Linked DNA regions of Sus scrofa. The protein of the gene in region 1 purifies or fractionates together with the protein of each later gene. This does not show direct contact. Links are inferred from orthologs where the notes say so. Each region holds a gene or a part of one and is shown in the gene's direction. Other genes may lie near its edges. The genes, in order: KAT8, MSL3, KANSL1, PHF20 and PHF20L1.

Region 1 (4,155 bases):
CTTGTCTTGTTTCATATGCTGCTGGCATTTAATGCTCCCCTCAAACCTCTTTATTTCCCAAAAGCCAAGTTACCAGCACTTCCCACTGCCATCCCTCACAAAGACTTGCGTGTTTCCTGATCTGTAACCTCAGACTTAGACCTTAAGCATTCCACTTCTCTTAGAATTGTTTTAAGCCCAATAACCAAGTTATAAGTCAAAGATGACTCACAGTGGCCAAAGGGAGGGTTTAATTGAGCACGTACTCTGCCTGGCATTGCTCAATATACTTGTTTTATATTCATGGGATATATCTATATATATCTATATGGTTCAACCTTTATAGAGATACTTGACTTATAGTTTCATCTTTGACTATGCTCTTGGAACAAACACATTTCTACACCTTCCCGAGTTGGGTCAGAACCCAGGATTCCTAATTCACTCAGTCCAAGACGCTCTCCATTATGTCCACTGCCTTTGGCCAGTTTCTGTTTAGGGGACCTGACCCTTTCTTTACAAAGGCTTGATACTGTGAGAGTGGTTTACTAGCTGTCCCAGGATACACCGTTCTGCTTCCCCCACCCCAACTGTCTCCTTTTCCCATCCTAAACAAAGAAGGAAGGTTCTTCAATCTTCAAAAACGGGATGACCTGTATGTGGCTGGCGGAAGGGGGGGGGTGGGTGTTAGTTCCAGGCTCACCTCTAAAGCCAGACAGCCAGGGAGGCTGCTCTGGCTCCGCCCTGGTAAAGTGGAGGCAGTGCTCCCTGATAATTGGCATATCCTGGCTTTCTCAGGCACCAGGGCCTTTTAAAAGATCGATCTGAGGAGTTCCCGTCGTGGCGCAGTGGTTAACGAATCCATGAGGTTGCGGGTTCGGTCCCTGCCCTTGCTCAGTGGGTTACCGATCCGGTGTTGCCATGAGCTGTGGTGTAGGTTGCAGACGCGGCTTGGATCCAGCGTTGCTGTGGCTCTGGCGTAGGCCGGCAGCTACAGCTCCGATTCGACCCCTAGCCTGGGGACCTCCATATGCCGCGGGAGCGGCCCAATAAATAGCAAAAAAAGACAAAAAATATATATATATCGATCTGAGACATCACATCCGGAAAGCCTTTCTCCGCTCTCCAACTCCAGGGTGCAGCCACAGTTCCAAACGTCAGCCAAGTAACTCCAGAGCAACCGGCACTGTCAACGTCAATCTGGTCCGGCGCCGCGGAGACAGCCGCACTAGCCAATGAGCGCCTGCTACGTCACAGACCCCACCCTCCAGCCTACTGCGGCCTCCGCTACACGTCGCTGACCCGGAACTAAAGGCGCTGTGCGGCGCCGGATTCTGGCGTCACTTCCACTACAGCGATGGCGGCACAGGGAGCAGCTGCAGCCGTTGCGGCGGCGACTTCAGGGGTCGCGGGGGAGGGCGACCCCGGGCCTGGGGAGAATGCGGCGGTCGAGGGGACCGCCCCGTCCCCAGGCCGCGTCTCTCCGCCAACCCCGGCGCGGGGAGAGCCGGAAGTCACCGTGGAAATTGGAGAAACGTACCTGTGCCGGCGACCGGATAGCACCTGGCGTGAGGGCGGGGCCCAGGGCCAGGGGGCGGGGTTTATGGCCGGGGCGGGGCCTGAGCAGGGAGAACGCGGAGTTTCGGGCTCGCCCCGGCGCCGCCTGCAAACCCCACCTATCGGGTGTTAGCCAGATTCTTCCTGCTGTGTATAGAGCTCCCGCTCCACTTCCTTGCCCAGTCTTAGTCTTCATTCTCTTGTTAACCCGTTTCCTCACTGGTCGCCCTTGACCCTGTGACTTCCCCTTGCATCCGTCCCCGACAGCTGCCAGCGGAGAGGAGCTCCCAGAACACAGAAACGAACTTCCCCTTTTCTTCTATTATTTTGAGTCATTTCCATATTAACCCCAGAATTCCTTAGAATGGCTTTCATCTTTGTGACCTGTCTGGTTTTAGCAGCCCTAGTAAGGGCCGTTGCCAGACCAGACCACGCTGTCCACTCTTCAGACCACTTATGCCCTGTGCTTGGAATGCCCTACCCTTTTCCTTGTTTAGCCGGCTAGCCCCACTCATCCTTTTAGCATCATATCCCTCGTGATGCCATTCTTGACTCCCTTCAGGCAAAGTGAGTCGTTCCTTTGTGTGTTCCTGCAACATTTTCTACATACCTGAACCATGGTATATGTACCATTATGTTGTCTTTGTCTTCCTCTATCAAAGTGGGAACTTCTGGAGGGCAGGTCCATCCTGTGATCCATCACTGTATCCTCTGTACCCAGCAGCAACCCAGCCCAGGATCAGACAAGCAGGGGTTGCCTTACTCATTTCTTTAATGGTCTGCTATTTGTCAGATGCTATACTGAAAGCTTCAGAGCCATTAACTCACCATTTGAGGCGGACACAGCTGTCGTTATTTTGCAGATGAAGAAGCTGAGGCTCAGAAGGCCAAAATAACTTGTTCAGTTAAATACAGCTAGGAAGTGGGGCTGTGTTATTTCACAGCTAGTCCTCAGGACCCCTGAACAAACAAACCACTGAGTATTGAATTTGGAGCCAGACTTAAATTCAGATAAGTATTAGCTCTTACCATTATTCAAATAGGTGAGCCTGGGTAAGCCTCAGTTTCCTTATCTCTAAAATAAGAATAACAGCCCCCGTCTGGCCCACCTCAGACAGTGATTGAAGGGAGTGGCAGATGTGAACAGGTGAGGTCAGCTTACAGTTGGCCTTGGAACCTGGGAAACTGCTCCTCAGTGTGAAAGAGCATCCTTTTTTTTGGCCGCCCTGTGGCGTATGGAGTTCCAGGGATCAGATCGGAGCCACGATTGCAACCTACACTGGATCCTTAACCCATCGTGCCGGAGCAGGGATTAAACCTACATCCTAGTGCTCCCTAAACACTGCCGATCCTGTTGTGCCACAGTGGGAACTCCTGAAGGAGCACTCTTGCCCCAGTCCTGCTGTCTTACTTGATGCTCTTTTCTCCCTCCACAGATTCTGCTGAAGTGATCCAGTCTCGAGTGAACGATCAGGAGGGCCGAGAGGAATTCTATGTACACTATGTGGGCTGTGAGTGACTTGGGGTAGCCCCGGTCTGGGTGGGGTGGATGGGGGTGGAAGGGCAGCCCCCTCATGGCCCGTCCTCACAGTTAACCGGCGACTGGACGAATGGGTAGACAAGAACCGGCTGGCACTGACCAAGACAGTGAAGGATGCCGTGCAGAAGAACTCGGAGAAGTACCTGAGTGAGCTGGCTGAGCAGCCCGAGCGCAAGATCACTCGCAACCAAAAGCGCAAGCACGATGAGATCAACCACGTGCAGAAGGTCCGAGCCCTCCTTTCCCCAGGCGGCTCGAGGCAGCTCAGCTGCCTCTGCAGACTCCCTGGGCTCCCAGTACCAGAACCACAGCAGCTCCCATTTCTTAACCCCCTACCGGGTGTCGGGGACTTTACCTACCTCTTCACAGATAAGAAAACTGAGGCTCAGAGATGGCAAGGGCTTGGCTACAGTCTCACAGCAACGAAATGGCCCAGCTGGGACTGGAACTCAGGCCTCTTGCACCAGTGGCCTCTTTTGCCTCCCTCTCGGCTGTGCCGCCTTGACAGATGGATGTGAGGTCCAAAGGGGAGGAAGAGAGTGAGTGATTTGGGGCACTTGCTATTGCCAGGCGCCATGCAGAGTGCGGTACCTGTACAAGCTAATCAGATCCTCCCTAACAGCGCAGCACCACAGGGATAATAATTGAGGAAAGCAGGAAGGCTCAGCGAGGTTAAGTAACATGCCCAAGGTCACACTGCTAGTAAAAGGGTGGGCTGAAACTAGGGTAATAGTGGCAAACATTTATTGGCTTATGAGCCACAGTGTCAGGATAAGTGTTTTAATACTGATCTCATTGACGTTTCACAGCAACTCTGTGAGGTAAGCATTGTATCCCCAGTTCACAAGAGAGGTACAGGTAAGTTTAAGAACCCAGTCAAGAGTTAGATTTGCCAACTAGATTGTCCAACTTGGGGCACACGCCCTTGGACATAACTTTGAACATCTAGAAGCTCCATTTATTTGCAAAACCTGGGTTTTTTCTTGAAGCCAGCCTGCAGAGGTTTCTTTCCTTCCACTCTGAACCTCAGTTTCTTGATTTGTGAAATGAGGCGTGCAGATGAGAACAGAGGTCGTGGA
Region 2 (3,726 bases), on another chromosome or scaffold:
TGACTAGGAACCATGAGGTTGTGGGTTCGGTCCCTGGCCTTGCTCAGTGGGTTAAGGATTCGGCATTGCTGTGAGCGGTGGTGTAGGTCGCAGACGGGGCTCGGATCCTGCATTGCTGTGGCTCTGGCACAGGCTGGCGACTACAGCTCCGATTCGACCCCTAGCCTGGGAACCTCCATATGCTGTGGGAGTGGCCCTAGAAAAGGCAAAGAGACAAGAAAATAAAAAATAAAAAGTACCCTGTAAAAAAAAAAAAAAGAAAAGAAAAAAAGAAAGAACATTGGCTTCCGCAGATAGTTATTAAATGAGGAAGTTTGCGAAGGTCCAGCCACCTTTGGCCTTCAAGGAGGGGTTAGTTTCCTTCCCGCTCTGCTGTGTCACCACTTTCTTCCCTCGGTGACCCAGCATGCCCACATCTCTATTCTTTGGGGGGAACAAAAGTCCCCCCCACCTACCGTCAGCTACTTCCCTATCTGCCTAAGGCCTCTCTTCCCGAGTGAGAGAGTGGTCCCGTCTCGTGATTGCCACTCAGCCCTCTCTTCTTGGGTGTTTAGGGTCTGCCTTTGTGTCCCACCTCCCTCTGCTCCCCAGGGCACTGGCGCCTTCCCATTTGCCGCACCCCGCGTCGGTCACCCTCCCCTTCCCAGGGGGCCTGTCTCCTGGTTCTCGGTCTGCCTCCTGGCCGTCTCTTCTCAGCCCACTTTCCTTCCCCGTTGATTCCGCCCCCCTGGAGAGGCCCATGTGACTCACTGGGGACCTCTGTGGATGTCCCTCTGCCCTGCTCGCAACCTTGAGGTTCCCAGTGTCTGGGGTGGACTGTGTGTTTCTGCAAAGCTTGGGCAGCGTGGGCGGCGTCTCCTGTCCTCTCTCCGTGGTTCCGTGGCGCTGGGACAGTGTGGAATTCTTCCTCTCTCGCCCGGGCTTTCTCAGCCTCGGCTTTCCTGGTGTTTTGACCTGTGTCGCCCTTGGCAGTGGGCCGCCCTGTGCACTCTGGGCTGCTGTGCTGCATGCCGGGCTTCTCCCGCATTGGATGCCCGTCGCGTTTTTCTGGTCGTGACAGTCCGAGCTCTTCGGAGGGTGTCAGTGTCCCTGGCAGAGTGGAATCACTGCCTACTGAGACCCCTAGGAAGGGGCACCACCGTCTTAAATGCCAGTGTGCCTTGAAGAGTCACTGAGAGCATTCAAGCGACAGAGTGTGTGTCCTGTTACTTTTTAAGAAAAATCCCTGTTTTGGCCCATTTGGAAGTGAGTTTCTGGCCCTGCTGGGGCGGAGTGGCCGGTGCGCTTACTGTCTGGAGGAGGACACTGCGGATTCCCTCCAGGTCTGGCAGCAACTCGGCAGGCCAGGCACCTGTCACGTTTTGCGCTTTCTTCCCTAGGAACCAGGAGGAGCTCTCGCCAAGCCCACCTTTGTTGAATCCGTCCACACCACAGTCCACGGAGAGCCAGCCAACCACCGGCGAGCCAGCCACCCCCAAGAGGCGCAAAGCCGAGCCCGAAGCCTTGCAGTCCCTGAGGCGGTCCACGCGCCACTCCGCCAACTGCGACAGGCTGTCTGAGAGCAGCGCCTCTCCTCAGCCCAAGCGCCGGCAGCAGGACACGTCGGCCAGCATGCCCAAGCTCTTCCTCCACCTGGAAAAGAGTAGGTCCCTCCCCCGGGCGGACAGAGCGGACGTCTCCTTCGTGCTTGGGCTGGGCCTGGCCCTGCGCTGCGGGAAGGAGTCCGGCGGCAGGAGGGGCTGGGGAAGCACGGGCCGAGCACGCGGTCCCAGCCAGACTCGCCAGCTCGGCTGCGGGAACTCGACTTGGGAGGGTGGCCTGCCGGAGGCTCCCGAGGCACATGCCCTCATCGGCAGTCAGCTGGGCGAAGGCAGCTCGCCCAGGCCTTCAGCTCAGCGCGGCTCAGGAGGCCGTTGGCAGTGCCTCCCTATGCCCCCATCCCAGCCCTAATCTGTCACATGAGGCAGCCACTCCTCCCTTCTTGTTCCTATGCATTCGCCTCTTCTGGGCCTGAATTCCTCTCCGTGGAATCAGACAGTACGTGGCCTTTGGTCTGTGGCTTCTTTCTCTTGCCATAACGTGTTCCGGGTTCATCACGTTGCAGCATGTATCCCTACTTGACGCCTTTTCTTTCCTTTTTCCCCACCAAATAATAGTCCAGGGACCGTCTTTCATCGGAAGGTCTTACTGTTACAGATGAATACGTTCCCTGTTGTTGGTAATAGTCTGGCAGCAGCCCTGTGATTTACAGGTGAATAACCAACATTGTTTCCTTTTGAAGAGACGCCTGTTCATAGCAGATCTTCCTCGCCTGTTCCTCTAACCCCCAGCAAGGAAGGGAGCACGGTGTTTGCTGGCTTTGAAGGCAGAAGAACTAATGAAATCAATGAGGTAAAGCGTTCGTGTCTGTTGTTCATCCCCAGCGAGTCTTGGCTCCCGCAGTTGCTCAAGTCCCGGGGAGGAAACAGAGTCTCCTTAGAAGAAACATTATGTCGCACTTGCCCTGGATGTTAACAGAAGGGTTCACACGAAGTGTGACATTGTGTTCATTGTGTCTAAGATGAAACAGTGGTCCGGACACCAGCCCTACACTTAACGCTCATCTTTTGTTTCAGAGAAGTAGGAGTGTTTTCATTTTATAGAACAGTTGTCAGCACACTTTTTCTGCAAAAGGCCAGGGGCTAGATATTTTAAAGCTTGTGGGCCACACGGTTGCCATCAAGACGCCCCCCAGCTCCACAGCAGGTGTAGACACTATATGTAAGTGAATGAGTGTGTCGTGTCACAATAGCATGTTATTGATGGATGCTGAAATTTGAATATCAGATAATTTTTGTAAGTTATGAGATAATATTCTGCTTTGGGTATTTTTCCAACCATTTAAAAATATAAAACCCATCCTTAACAGTAATATTTTTAAGGCCAGTTAACTGAAGCGGATAGCGTTTCAGGAGTTCCGGAGATGCCTTCGTTCGCTGGGCTGTCCTGTTAATCTTGCTGAGGGGGTGGAGCTTCCTTGCTTCTGTACACAGACAAAGACGGCTTTGCTACACCGAATGTTTGATGACGGGGTTTCGGCAAACTTTTCTTATAAAAGGTCTGATTGAATATTTTCGGGGTTGTGCACCAGTGTGAAGGCGGTGTGGACAGTTCACAAATGAGCAGGTGTTCTGTGTGCCCCCCCCCCCGATTCATTCATGCACGCTGGTGATCGAATTGCATAGGATTTTCATATGTTGTGAAATATTATTTGATTTTTTGAACTATTTATAAACATAACTTTTAGCACACGCAGGTTGGATTTGGCACAAGGGCTGTTAAGTTGGCTGACCCCTGACAGAAAACCCAGTTTGTGTTACAGTGGTGTTTAACGAAGGTTAGGAAATTTCTGCTACAAGCAGTCACTAATATCCCGTTTTTTGAGACAAGAAGGCCCTGCCCGTGCTATTATTCAAGGGGAGTCCTCTTTCTCAACGTGTGACTATTGAGGCAGGGCCATTCCCACTCTGGTCACTGGCGCAAGGCCACCATCTAGTGGTTGTAGGCACAGCTGCAAGCGCTCGCGAAGAAGTAGGATTTTCCTAGTAAACAGTCGGAATCAGGGGGGCTCTCACAGTGATGCTCGAGACCTTAGTGCTTTCCCCGCTCTGCAAGTGCTTCGGCTGCAGCCTCCTTTTAACCAGGGCTCTGCACACTGACCACCTGAGACTCTCCCAGTGGTCTTTG
Region 3 (4,275 bases), on another chromosome or scaffold:
TTACAGAATATTGAGTAGAGTTCGCTGTGCTATACAGTAGGTCCTTGATGGTTATTTATTTTATATATAGTAGTGAGTATGTATTAGTCTCAAACTCCTACTATCCCTCCCCCATTGATCTTATTATTGAATGCATTTACTATAAAGCACATATATTACTATGCTACACTTTAAAAGATATTTTGAAAATTGTATTTTGCTATTACTGGTTTTCTTTGAATTCCTGCATATGTTTATTATGCATTTAAAAACATTCTGAGAAGGGTACATGGTTTGAAAAGGTTAAGAACTCTACTTTTTGGGTATTCTCTTTGTTTTCATTCTTATTGAGTAAGACTAAAGAGGGTCTCTGAAGTGAGTTGTAAGACCTGTGAGGCTCTCATAGTTTTATTATTTTTTTCTTTCCAGAGACCCTCCCTCCCTTAACTTTCATACCTCTGTTGGTAAGAATACTTTCATTATTCTGTTTTTCTTATCTCACGGACTCTCTTTCTGTTTCTTTTCCCACTCCTGACTTTTATTGTGGGTGTCTTTTAAATTTCTATCAGGAGTTTAATCTTTTAGCCTGCCATTGATCACTATATTTAGGTGGAGAGCTCTAAATCTCCCTTATTCCAGATTATCCACCCTTTCCCAAGTTCCATAGCTCTAGTAGCCTCTGGGACACATTCACTTGGTTTTACTACTGGTAGCTGGGACTGGACATATTAAAAACTAAGATTTCTTCCCAATTCTGCATGTTGTCCCACTTTGCCTGGACTACCATCTTATCTGTCCCCCTGGTTTTGCAACCTTATGATTATTTCAAAATTTAAGCCAATTAATTTCCAAAAAATGGGAATCTTTGTGAATGGTACAAAAATCGAAAGCTGCAAAAGGATATGCAGTGAAATGTAAGTCTTGCTCCCACCTGTTCCCCTCAGCTCCCCTCCCAGGAGGAAACCACTGTTACCAGTTCTTAGAGCGATTTTTGATTCTTTCTTATATTGGCTATATCTCAAGCCCTTCCTTGTCTGAGATGTGTGCCTTTTCCTCTCCTGGCTCTCATAACCTTATATCCGGTTGACTTTATATATAAGTATTTGTATGTGTATATTTTATATACATATATGAAATTTCCTCTCATGGCCTTCCGGCCTCAACTTTTCATCATGTAGCTTCCTGGATGAAGAACCTACAAGGGTGAGGGGCTGGGGTTGGGGGTGATGGAGAAGAGGATCTAAAGGGGACTTAGGTGGGGGTTCAGAGTGGCATACTGATGGGAAGCTCTGCCAGCATTTCTATTTCTTTTCCTTCCACCTGAGGCCCCCTTCCAGTCCTCCTATCCAAATGTCTCTTGTTTCCAAGAGCCGAGACAGAGACAGCGAGATAGAGAGACAGAGACGCCAAGGCACCAGCATCCCTCTCCCCCTCTGTCCCGCCCCACCGCTCTGACGGACATCCACCATTAGCCAATGGAGCCCCCGATGTCCCCCGGAAAGGCCAATGAGAGACAGAGGAGGGCGGAAGATTTCCCCGCCCCCACTTCTAGGCTTGGTTGAGCCGTGCAGGTAGGTCCGGGGCCGGGGTAGCCGCCGTTGGCACTGGTGCCCGGGGGGGTGGGGGCACAAGTCGGTAGGGGTGATGGTGGGGAAGAAGAGGCGGCCTCGACCTCTGGAGGCCGAGGGGGCGCCCCGGCCGGGAGGCGGGGAGCCGACGGGCCCGGGGAGCGGGCGCCGCCGAGGGCCCTGGAAACGGCTGGGCTGGGGGAGAGGGGACGTGTGTGTGGGGGGCATAGGGACCCCCGCCCCGCGCCCACCCGCAGGCCTGGGCTGCGGGCTCCCGGCTGAGGGGCCGGGGCCTGGTGCTCAGGGGGCGGGTTGGGCCGGGCCCGGGGATGGGGGCGCCGAGCAGAGCCCGGAGCGCCAGGCCGAGCCGAGGTGGGACGGACCGACGCGGAGAGGACGGGAAGCTGCATCCTGCGGGCCGCCCCCTCCTGAAGCGAGTCAGGGCAACCGCCACAGGCGCCTCTGCTCAGAGCCCACTCTCCTTATCGTCCCCTTCCCAACAATGGGTTTGGGCCAGGAAGGAGTCGCCCCACTGCGGGAAGGTGAGGGGGGTAGGTTTGGGACTAGGGTCCAAGGTGGGGGAGGGGTGGGAACTCGAGCTGTCCCCTTCTCCTCACCGGTTTGCTTTTGCGGTGGAGATCATGGAGTGGCTTAAACCCTCCCGAGACTGGGTCAAGAGTCAAACTGCCCCCCCCCCCACCTAACCCCTCCCCAATCCGACGAGCGGTGAGGAAAGTGATGCCAAGTCTTCGAAGCTGCTGTGATAAACGCATAGCAAGAACAAATCCACTCCAGAGGTTTTATTTTTAATTTTTCTTAGAAATGAGGGTACTATAGTCTTTAAATTTTAAACATTTATTTTAGAGAGGTGGGTGCTGTATTTTTGTCCCTATTCGGGCAAGCCTCCATTTTAAGTAAAACAGTAACTGGTTAAGCTGGAATTTTCATTCAGGCCTAGGACTTGAACAGGGATCCTACAAGAGGTCATTTAATCCATCCTCCTGCCTCCAGACAACCCTGCCTCCCTCCCATCCCCAGAATTAAGTTATTTGGTCTGCTTTTAAAGATCTCTAGGCAAGAAAGATCTCTTATTTGTTTATAACACTTCGATCAAGAATGGATTGTATTTTTCATGTAGAATGGGCTCTGCAACTTAAACTTAAGGAAATTTAGGACAATCAGAATGATCAGAGAGGTTTGATTTATTAAGTGAAATTAAAGGGTCTTTTTTAGGTGATCTATTAACAAGTTACTTTTTAATAGTGCTTATGAAATACCTTGGCTAATCATCTTTCTGTCTGGGGAAAATGGTTTTGGTTTTCTAATTATTTGATAACCAATTTTTGTATTATCTAAAATATGTGTTACATATTTAATCCAATTTTATGTAAAAATATATTTCTGCGTATGTATGGAGATGCATATATCACACACATTTGCCCCTTTCCAAAGGGGATGGTATTTTCTACATCTTTTTAAGATGGTGAGCAAATAGTACTTCAACTCTCTGTCCAGATAGCTTAAACTGGAGTTCCATTGTGGCTCAGCAGTTAATGAATCTGACTAGCATACAACTCTGCTTCGACCCCTAGCCTGGGAACTTCCATATGCCATGAGTCCGCCGCCCCTCCCCCCCCCCCGAAAAAAAGCAGATAACTTAAACTGTTTGCTTATTCTTGATTATTTTTTAATCTAAATGAAAGTCTTCTCTTTCAGATACCTTCTTGAAACAAAAAAATTTTTCCTACCTGCTCATACTTGGTGACAGAGGGGTTACTAAGACTCCTTCTTGCTCATTTCTGAGTATTGTCTGAACTATTCCTGACACTATGAATGCTGTTTGGATGCCTCTTAAGGTAAGATGTGTGTGGGTTTTTTTTGTTTGTTGTTTGTTTGTTTGTTTTAATTAAAGGTCTCACTGTATTTCTTTTTCTTTAGAATTGAGGATTTTCTAATTCTTGAATTTGCAGTTCGCCTTTCCCTTGAAAAAACTGCTGTTGTGTTTGCTTCTGAGGATTGATCAGTTCCTCTTTACTTTGTGTTGCTACTGTTCTTAACTACTGATATTCTCAGATTACAATAATGTGTTTATTTTTGACTTTAAATTATGACAGCCTACAAACTTATAAAACTGTGTTCCCAATCTCAGTAGGATGGATGGCAATTCAAACAGCCAGGTCCACTTTCAAACGAGTGCTTTAGTGTCATAGGTGCTAGGGTGTGTCCCACTCTTGCAAATCTGAAGCTGATTCATGTGTTACAAAAGATGTGTCACTAACCATTTGTTTACTCTGAAACTTCATTTTAGTGTATTAGAACATTCTAAGACCTGTTCCTCTACGTGTATAGTCTGTCGGAGGGTTCTCCTGCTACTTCCTAGTCCTTTGCATGTGAATTTATACTGTTTTTCTCAACAGGTAGCACTTTGTGCCAATTTTCATCTCATAGGATAAACCTCTTTGGGGCAGTGTGGACACATGAAAAAGCTCTTATTGATGTGGTGGTTCTCCAGTCTCTTGTTACTTCTAGTTTCTTGTACGTAGATGGCCAAAGGACTCTCTCCACTAGAACTAAGCAGAGGACAAGCTTAAGATACATGTAGGAGGAAACAGGGAGGGAGGATGGAGAGAAAAGTATGGAATGATGCAAGGCCCCCACCAGCTTACAGGTGGTACAGGTTGCCTTCTTCTAGAGCTAGATTCTAGTGTGGCTAAGATTGTTTTGTGGT
Region 4 (4,347 bases), on another chromosome or scaffold:
GCAGGAGAGTCTGGGGTTAGCAGATGCATTATTATGTATAGAATGGATAAACAACAAAGTCCTATTGTATAGCACAGGGAACTATATTCAATATCCCATGGTAAACAATATGGGAAAGAATATAATAGAAGGTATAGGAGAATGTATGGGAGGTGGTGCAGCAGGTTAAGGATCCGCATTGCTGCAGCTGTGGCACAGGTTGCAGCTGTGGCAGAGGTTAGATCCCTGGCTGGGAACCCCCACATGCCAGCAGTTTTGGTCAAAAAAAAAAAAAAAACTATATATGCGTATCACTGAGTCACTTTGCTGTACAGTGGAAATTAATACAATATTGTAAATCAACTACTCTTTAATTAATACATTTTAAAAAAGAAAAAAAATGTGAATTAAAACCATAATGTGCTACCACTTCACACTCACTGGAATAGTTATAACAATAGAAAAACAGAAAAAAAAAAAAAGAAGACTTCACTGAGAAGATGACAAACAGATCTTTAAAGAGTCAGATTTGCCAAAAGCAACAGCCTCGTCAATGGCCTAGCACCTGGAAAGAGAATGGAACCAAAAAAATGGACAGCAGGTCATTGTGGCCAAAGGGTTAGCAGGGAGGAGAGTATTTGAAGGAGAGATTGGTTGTTTTAAGCAGGGGGAGTGACATGATTACATTTACATTTTAAGAAGTGCAATCTAGCGACCCAGTTTTTCCAATATAAAATAAAGTCGTTGTTGCCTTTCTAAAAAAAAACAAATGTTTAGCATTTCTCTTTAGGACTTCCCAAGTCTCATTGGGAAAGCATCTCAGACCCTTCTGAGGCTTCCTCCTTAATCCTTTGAGGCAGAATACAGCTCGTCTCCACACCAGCTATTGGAATCCTTTCCAAGAAGTTAATGAGGTAAAGTGGAGGAGAGATGAGGGCAAAAACCCTGAGGCAGGAACGAACCTGGCTTGTTTGGGGACCTGAAGGATGCTAAGATCTGAATGTGTGAGAATGCGAGAGAGGCACATTAGGCACAGACTCTGAAAAGCCTGATAGAATACAATGATGATTTAGATCTTAATCTGAAGAACAGTGAGTAATGAGTTTTGAGCAGGGGATGGCTGTGACTATAGCTGCGTTTTGAAAAGCTCCAGCTGAGTGTGAAGAATGGATTGGAAGGGGTAAGAGTAAGGAGATGGAGAAGATAATAACCACCATCCAGAAGAGAGTTTAAGGTGGACTAGAGTGGAATGTTGGCAGCGGGATGGAGAGAAGTAGGAGGCTTCGAGATGCATTTAGGAGGCAAAATTAACAGGCGAATCGGTACTTCGTGCTTCGGATCCGGGCGCAGGCCAGTTCCCGCGCGTCAGGGCCGTGGGTGTGACCCGCCAGGGCCGTCGCCACGGTGATAGGGACGGGGCGGGGCCAAGGGCGGGGCAGTTGAGGCGCTGCGTCACTCGGTGGTGGCGATGGTGCGTGTGTGTGGGGGGCGGGGGATACGCTGGGCGCGTCCCGGGGGTCACGTGGTGCGCAGCACGCAGAGCCCTTCTGTCGGTTGGTCCTGGAGCGGCGCAGCCGGAGCGGGGCTGTGAGGTGAGCTCGCGGCGAGGCGCGGCGAGGCGAAGCCGGCTGGCTGGGGCCGGGTCGGGTCGGGCCCGCGCCGCGCGCGCGCGCTTGCGCGCGCCGTGCGGGCAGGGACGGTGACGGACGCCACCGCTGCTCCGGTCCCCTGCCCGGCCCCGCTCCCCGCCTGGCCCAGCTTGCCCAGCCTGGAGGGAGGCCCAGGGACCGCTGTCGAGAGCGTGGCGGGCGTGCGAGCGGCACCCAATCCCCAGGGCTGCCCGCGAGAGTGACAGTGGCTGCGACCAATCAGCGCCGCCCGAGGGGGCTGAGCCGCGGGGTGCGGGCCCCGGGCGCGGAGCGGGCCGTGTTGGGGGTGGGGGGTAAGCGCTAGGGCTGGATCCTCAGCTCTGTGGCCCCGGAGGGCTCCACCACCAACCCCTGCTGTTTCCTTGTGCTTCGGGAACGCGTTTTCTTTTCTTGACTCTTTTATCGTATTCTGGGGAGCACACCCCTTCTCCAAGCCCTTGACTATGGGAGTGTCCCCTTTCTCTATAGTTTTGCAAAATGTGGTCGGTGCATCCCCTTTCTTAAGCTCTAGCCATGGAGTTTTATCTTAATTTGTAGAGCCTCCTCAACTGAGGATGTACCTCCTGACCCACGACCCCCTCAGTCTGGGAGGGCACTCCCATTTCGAGCCTCCAGTTGAATAAGCATTTCCTTTCAAATTTGGGGGTTCATCCCATTAGCGAGTCTAAAATCTGGAGCCCAGGAACCAGAGTTTTGGGAGTACTTATGTTCCCATAAATCCAAGGAAGAATCTCCTTTTCTAGGCCCAAAATCTGGTAACGTGCTTTCCAGAATTTCTTCATTGTAGGGGCTGCTTCCTCTCCTAACCCTTCAAATCTGGGCGTGCACTTCATTACCAGTCTCGAAAATGAGATTCAAATCCTGAAGTTTGGGAATACATATTTGTATTTATACAAGAGAATTCAGTGTTTTTTTTTTTTTTTCAGTCACTCTCTTCTTGGAGTTGCATCCTTTTTCATGAGTCCTCCAAATCAGACCACCTTATTTCCTGGGGGAGACTTACTTTCTTACGTTAAAGTGTGCTTGGTTCTAGTGCCCCCCAAATGTACAGCATGCACTCCTTCGGTTATGCAGGATGTAGGCACCTTTCTGATGCTTATTATATCCAGAGGGCACACCTTTTTTCTGAGTCCTCTTATTTCCAGGGGATGGTTTGTGGTTCTTAAGCTTTTCTGCCATCCAAGATATTTTCTGTCCTCAGTTTTCTTCCCTCTTTGGAACCACGTTTCCCTTTAGTTGGTCTCTCTGGTCAGTGCACCTATTTCCTCTTCCTTCCTTTGGTGAATGTATATGTTTTTTCAGCCCTACACTTTCTATGCTTCTGTGGCCTTTTTTTCTGAGCACACTTCCTATGTTCATACCTCTAAATTCCCCGCCCCCCCCCCCCCCCCCCCCGCACATTTTCTTTCTTGTGTCTTCTCTCTTATCTTTCTGCTAACAGGAACTCTTTCCTTTTGGCTTGCCCTATCCCTGGGGCATTTTTTTTCTGGTTTCTTTCTTCCTTTGGAAACTGTTCTGCTTGCTGGTAGCTCTACAGATTTTCCCCTTTCTTCCCCTTGCTCTGGAAGTGGCCTCAAGTCCAGGACTGCCTGACTCCCCAGGGCTGGATTTAAACAGAAAGGAATTCCCTTGCATTTCTCTGATTATTCACAGGGTTCTTAATCTTCCTGGTGGTTTGCTTCCTATAAGAGTCTGATTAGATGGGCACTATTTTCTCCTTTGCTTCGTTTCCCTTCATTGGGGAAAAAAAACAAAAGGAAAAAAACCCTCGAGATTCTTTAGTTTTGCTTTCAGCTCATAAACGTCTTCCCTACATTGGGTTCCTTCCTTTCTTTTATCAGGAGAAGAGGTAATTTGGAGGAATTTCCTGGTCACTCTTTTTTTCTTGTTCCTGGGGTACAGGTGGGGGGCATGAATATTTATCTCTCCTTGTAATCCTCTCACTTAGCTGCCTAGCCTTTCTCCTAACCCCCACCTTAAAATCTGCAAATGTCTGAGACCCCTTTTCTCTTAAAAGCCTCTCACTAGGTTCTTTTCTTTTGTGTTTCCCTCTGTCTTTCCAGATTTTACTCAGGGCTTCTCAGCCAGAACCCTAACCAGATTAATTTCTCCGCAGCTGGAATCTCAAGTGCTTATGGGATAATGACACCTCTGACCTTTCTCCTTTTTGGGAAGTACTTGAGTGTGCAGCTGTATGAGGCCTCAGTGGGGGAGAGAGTTTGAGGCTGAGAAGCTACCCTGGCAGGATAAGTCAGGAAAATACTGCATTTTCAGGACCATGTCCTTCTGAATCTCATTTGAGGATTGGATGTTTGCCAAGCACCTGCTTCTTAGGGATGCTGGGAGATTTAATGATACTCCCAGGAACCTGTAGGAGTTATTGAGGCTTGTGGAGAAGTGCTCTGAACTCAGTGTTGGAACTTGAATAAAATTAATCGTTGTATTTTCAAAACAACGAAGTTGATTTATATTTCATGTGTGTGAAAACCCTAGATCTGTGATACTTCAGGAAGTGAAAATAGATCCCACATTTAGATCATATGGTCACCAGTAAGTACAAATTCATTAAAAAAAGTTGGAGGTCTGGGCAGTACCTAATAAAATATGGTTTACAGAAAGCAAACAGGTACTTTGTCTCTTATTTGCCTATTTGGTATTCTATCTGTGTTCTACTATATATAGTCCCACCCTTAAAGTGTTCTGCACCAGTGCTTCTCAA
Region 5 (4,484 bases), on another chromosome or scaffold:
AGACACAGTTCTCAGTGAAAGGGTCTAAGAACAGAACTTTATCTGCAAGGGAAACTGGGATCATGATTTTTGTTTTCTACATTTTCACCCTATTTAGTGTGAGGTTCACTTTGCCCCAAGACTCATAAGGTGGAAGTATATGTCAGTTTGCATTAGGTTATTCTGTGCAACAAACAATTTCAATATCTCAAACCAACAAATATTGACTTTTTTCCTTATACTACACATCACTTGTGGCTTAGCATCAGCATCATCATAATCCATTTAGAACATGGGTTGTTAGAGCAGCCACCATGTCAAAAATTGCCTTTTGCTTTGCCAGAGACAGAAAGCTGGGAGAACTGGCTTTTTAAATTAGCAACTGGCCATAAAAAAATTTGCCTCCAATTTCATTTTATTAGCCAAAGCAAATCAGATGGTCATACATAATTCTAAGGAGGGTGTAAAGTATTATCCTGCCGTGTGTACAGAAGATTCTGGAAAGATATGGAGTACTGCCATTAATTGCAACTATGATGGGAAATTTCCCAAACATGGGGAATTGATTATTTCAAATGCCCGGCAACCAAAAACTAAGAAGACGTAAGTCCACTAGACACTGTCTTTATTTATGTTTTCTATACTGCCATGCTCAAGTCTAATTCAGTAGCTATTAGTAACACAGTAAGTGCTGATTAAATGTGTTGAATAAAAGGATATGAGTGTGGTTGTTTAAATTACTGAATCTCACTATAATTGAAGCTTAAAGAGTGATACTATGCTATTTTAACTCCACTCTGTAAAGCATGATAAATGTGTTATTTTTATGCAATGTTGTATTTAGAAAGCTTGAGAACTAGAGTAGCACCATGGAAAGAGAGTGATTAAAGATGCTGCATTTCAATATTGTTTTAAATGTGTTCACTTGTTGGTTTCCCCTACAGTGTGCCTAGTACAGAGTTTGGGATATGACAGGTGTTCAAGAAGAGTAGTTGTGTCTTTGGGAAAGTCACATCAATTTAACCGAAGATCTTCAGCTGCATGTGTACATGCACGCACCCCCACACAGAATGTCTTAGGAATATTTGCCTTTTGTGTTCTAAGGATCTCCTAGACTACAGAGCAATACAATTGTGCGATTGTGGTTGTCATGTGATGTACTTACAGCGCAGTGCCTGTCACAAAGTATTCATTCAGTAGAAGTTTCCTTATTTCGTAACAGTAACCACTTGCTCTATTCTTAATGTGGAATGGGGTGGATAGCTGAGAAAATGCGCATTTACAAAAGTTTGCCCAGAACGCTGGGATTGAGGCATTTTGACAACCTGGTTCCTCACAAATCAACAACAGTAGCATTCGATGGGCTTCGACCTCATCACTCAAATGTCAAAAGATTTCACAACTGCCAATGGGGTCCCGGAGCCCGCGTTCCTTCCGTCGCGAACCAGGGCTCCTCCCACTAGCGACCAGCCAACTGCCGCATAGCCCCGCCTCCCAGGGCGGCCCTCCAATCGGCCGCCCCGCCCCGGCCCAACCCTCGCGCGTCACGTGACACGGCCAGGCCCGCTTCCGGCGCGTCGCGGGCGGCTGACGTCGCCGGGGCCCGGCGTCGCGTCAGGGCTGGCCGGCGGCGGCGGCGGCGGCGGAGGAGGCGATGGCAGTGGACACCGAGCGGGCTTGAAGGGCTCGGACCTGCTCCCTCCCGCGCGACCTCGGGCCCGACCCAGCGCTGCGGTCCCAGCGCGCTCCGCTCCTGCTCGCTCCCCGACCGCTGCCCGGGCGGAGGCGGAGGCCCGGGCTGGCCGTCCTGTTTGCGCCCCGGCTCGGCCCCGGACGGCCCGGCAACTGTGCAAAGAGGAGGCCGAGTCGGTAAGAGGCGGCGGCGGCGGCGGCAGGGCCTGGCTGCCGCTTGGCTCCCTCCTGGCCGCCAGGGACACCCCCGCGCTGGTGTCTCTCTTGGGCCCGCTCCCCTCCCTCATCCCTCCCCTTAACTCGCCGCCCCTATTGTCTGGGCTCTGCCGCTCCCTCTACCCCTCCCTTCCTTCCCCCCTTCGGAGGGCCGGAGGGCTGTCAAACCTGGAGGCTTCTCCTGCTCCCCGCTTGCGGGCCGGGTCTGAGCCTTTCTGGTCTATTTCTGGCCAACCCCCTCCCACCCCTATCACCTCTCCCCCTTTATTTGGCCTCGCGGCTGTTCTTTGACCAACGTTTTACTTTCCCAGCGTTGTATCTTCTTGCTAATTTTCTCTTTCCTCTCGTTTGTCATGTCCGCAAGTTTCACCACCCTGACGTATTTTTGCTTTCTTGTTCGTTTTCCTTCCCGATTTTATTTCTCTCCCCTTTCCTATGTCCCCTTTTCTGTTTTTGCTTCAAGGCTGTCCCCAATAGACTCTCTTACTTTGTCTTACTTTTTCTTAATTCAAATCCCTCCCCATCCTCCCCTCTCCAGCCAAGAAAAAGGAAATCTTGCCTGTTCTGGTGCCTCATCCCGAAGTATCACTGCGGCGGTTATATGCCTTAACTCTTGTCACTTCTATGGGTTCTATATTTGATCCTAGAAAATGTTCGTGTAACTGGTAGATTACCCCTTACTAAGTTCTTTCTGTGAAGAACAGCAGAAAAAATGGATTAGATTTCTACACAAACATTTAAGTAACTGCTTTGTATGTTGCACACTGATCAGACCGCTAATAAAAATATTCATACTATTGTTTCTTTTACACCAGATGCCGTCTGGCTGAGCTTACTGTTAACTTTAATGCACTGGTTTTTGCTGCTGCCAAGGCAGGCAGGAGCATAGCTTCCCCCGCCCTCCTCCCCACCTCCCCATGAGTGTTTAAGTTTGATCTTAACATGTTTTTATGGCATGTATTGGGGTTGTATTTGGCATGTATTTTGCACTTGTTTTCCTTCGTCTGTCAGATTCTTTGAAAGAGGAAAAGGCAGTTTTGGTTTTTATATTTGCTGTTGGTGTTTGTCCCTTTTAAACCCCTGAAAAAACACGACACAGTTGTGTGTTTTCTTTTTAAAACTGAGAGGGAGCATAGTCTTATTAATAATTCTAAATATCAAAAAGGTTTTAGGGATTTTTCCTCTCCCCCAGTAACAGTAGGTTTGCTTTCCTGACTGGGTGTTATATTTTGATGGCTAGCTTATAACGCATTCATATGTTTCAGGTGCTGGTTAGTGAAAAAGAGGCTCCCTCAGATAATGCTGGGCAGCCACTGGCCAAAAGGATAGTGGATATTCCACATGTCCATGGTCTAGGAAGGAATAAGTATTCCTTTGTAGCTTCTTGTTTGTTTAAACGTACAGCCCTTTTACTGACAGTGTGAGCACTGTTTATATTGAAATATAGTGGAAATAAATTCTCAGAGCTAAAAAAATCCATATCCTTGTTGGTTATTGAATGTGAAGAATTAGAAGGGAATTTCCTTTGCAACTTTATATGTTAAATTAAAATCGTTGAATCATATGCTACCAATATGGGAGATCACAGGTAATGATAAACCCTAATCACAAGAGGAATTATTAAAATCATCACTAGAGGAGGAGTGTCTACTGCTTCTTCCTTTTTTGTACTCTTTAGTGTCTTATTAAGTGTTTTGTATTATAAGCCACTTAAATAAATATTTGTTGAAAAACTTGGTTAACTTTTTCTAAGAATTTCAGTAGTCATATTCCAGAACACTCAGTGGTCATGACTTTTCAAAGATGGAAACATTTTCACCCATTATCATGGAGAATTTTCTTGGGCGTTTTCAAGTTAAAATTTAAAGCGTTTTAGCCATTAGCTAATTTTAACCCCATCTAGTCATTCTTTTAAAATAGTTATCTTTCTAATATGCTTTTTCTTAATTCAGTATTAAGATTGTAAGTTGTTCCATACTTTACCTAGAGATACTTATAATCATCATTCAAATTTCCAAAAAACTGCACAGTTATTTTAAACTCTCATGTAATTTTTTTAAATTCTGTTTAATTCCTTATGCCTTTTATGCATCAGAGTCTAACTTTTTTTTTTTTCTCTTGAGGTAGTGAAAAGAGAATCCTGAAGAATAGGATCTCAAGATGAGTAAAAAGCCCCCAAATCGTCCTGGAATCACTTTTGAGATTGGTGCTCGTTTGGAGGCACTGGACTACTTACAAAAATGGTATGGAAGATAAGGAGCTCTTGCCTTAACGCACAGTGTCTGCTGTCTCAGTGGGTTGGCTAATTGCTCTTCTCCTGACAGTGGCAGAAACATTAAAGTGTTCAGATTTCGAATAAACATATACATTGTATTTTAGCTTTCCTGCTCTTCAACAGATTTTCACAGGTATCAGTCCTTGTGTGTACTTAATATGAACTCTCTTTGGTAGTGGGAGGGAGAGGATTAATCCAGATAACCACGTTCCCAAGTCGTGGATAAAGTTCGATATAAACCCCTTTTCTTGGCCTTTGTCAGAGGTGGTCTTTCAAACCATAGCGTGTGTTGACGGTTAGCATCTAAAACCAAAACCCCATT

The links.
Region 2: the proteins of KAT8 (region 1) and MSL3 purify together in Homo sapiens (affinity purification with mass spectrometry; 4 studies listed by BioGRID and IntAct, with this or other methods). This does not show direct contact. The link is inferred for Sus scrofa from reciprocal best matches to the Homo sapiens genes KAT8 and MSL3.
Region 3: the proteins of KAT8 (region 1) and KANSL1 purify together in Homo sapiens (affinity purification with western blotting; 4 studies listed by BioGRID and IntAct, with this or other methods). This does not show direct contact. The link is inferred for Sus scrofa from reciprocal best matches to the Homo sapiens genes KAT8 and KANSL1.
Region 4: the proteins of KAT8 (region 1) and PHF20 purify together in Homo sapiens (affinity purification with mass spectrometry; 3 studies listed by BioGRID and IntAct, counting the BioPlex papers as one, with this or other methods). This does not show direct contact. The link is inferred for Sus scrofa from reciprocal best matches to the Homo sapiens genes KAT8 and PHF20.
Region 5: the proteins of KAT8 (region 1) and PHF20L1 purify together in Homo sapiens (affinity purification with mass spectrometry; 3 studies listed by BioGRID and IntAct, with this or other methods). This does not show direct contact. The link is inferred for Sus scrofa from reciprocal best matches to the Homo sapiens genes KAT8 and PHF20L1.

The regions. Positions count from the first base shown.
Region 1 is NC_010445.4:17,370,274-17,374,428, reverse strand, and holds the start of KAT8 (histone acetyltransferase KAT8), read left to right. Parts: upstream 1-1,318; 5' UTR 1,319-1,336; coding exon 1,337-1,547; intron 1,548-2,972; coding exon 2,973-3,047; intron 3,048-3,127; coding exon 3,128-3,303; intron 3,304-4,155.
Region 2 is NC_010461.5:8,525,697-8,529,422, forward strand, and holds part of MSL3 (male-specific lethal 3 homolog), read left to right. Parts: intron 1-1,379; coding exon 1,380-1,642; intron 1,643-2,281; coding exon 2,282-2,391; intron 2,392-3,726. UniProt on the Homo sapiens protein: Non-catalytic component of the MSL histone acetyltransferase complex, a multiprotein complex that mediates the majority of histone H4 acetylation at 'Lys-16' (H4K16ac), an epigenetic mark that prevents chromatin compaction.
Region 3 is NC_010454.4:16,900,189-16,904,463, forward strand, and holds the start of KANSL1 (KAT8 regulatory NSL complex subunit 1), read left to right. Parts: upstream 1-1,423; 5' UTR 1,424-1,550; intron 1,551-1,951; exon of another isoform or gene 1,952-2,089; intron 2,090-3,263; 5' UTR 3,264-3,403; intron 3,404-4,275. UniProt on the Homo sapiens protein: Non-catalytic component of the NSL histone acetyltransferase complex, a multiprotein complex that mediates histone H4 acetylation at 'Lys-5'- and 'Lys-8' (H4K5ac and H4K8ac) at transcription start sites and promotes transcription initiation.
Region 4 is NC_010459.5:39,091,358-39,095,704, forward strand, and holds the start of PHF20 (PHD finger protein 20), read left to right. Parts: upstream 1-1,467; 5' UTR 1,468-1,571; intron 1,572-4,347. UniProt on the Homo sapiens protein: Methyllysine-binding protein, component of the MOF histone acetyltransferase protein complex.
Region 5 is NC_010446.5:8,465,383-8,469,866, reverse strand, and holds the start of PHF20L1 (PHD finger protein 20-like protein 1), read left to right. Parts: upstream 1-1,572; 5' UTR 1,573-1,848; intron 1,849-2,055; exon of another isoform or gene 2,056-2,295; intron 2,296-4,010; exon of another isoform or gene 4,011-4,014; 5' UTR 4,015-4,047; coding exon 4,048-4,130; intron 4,131-4,484.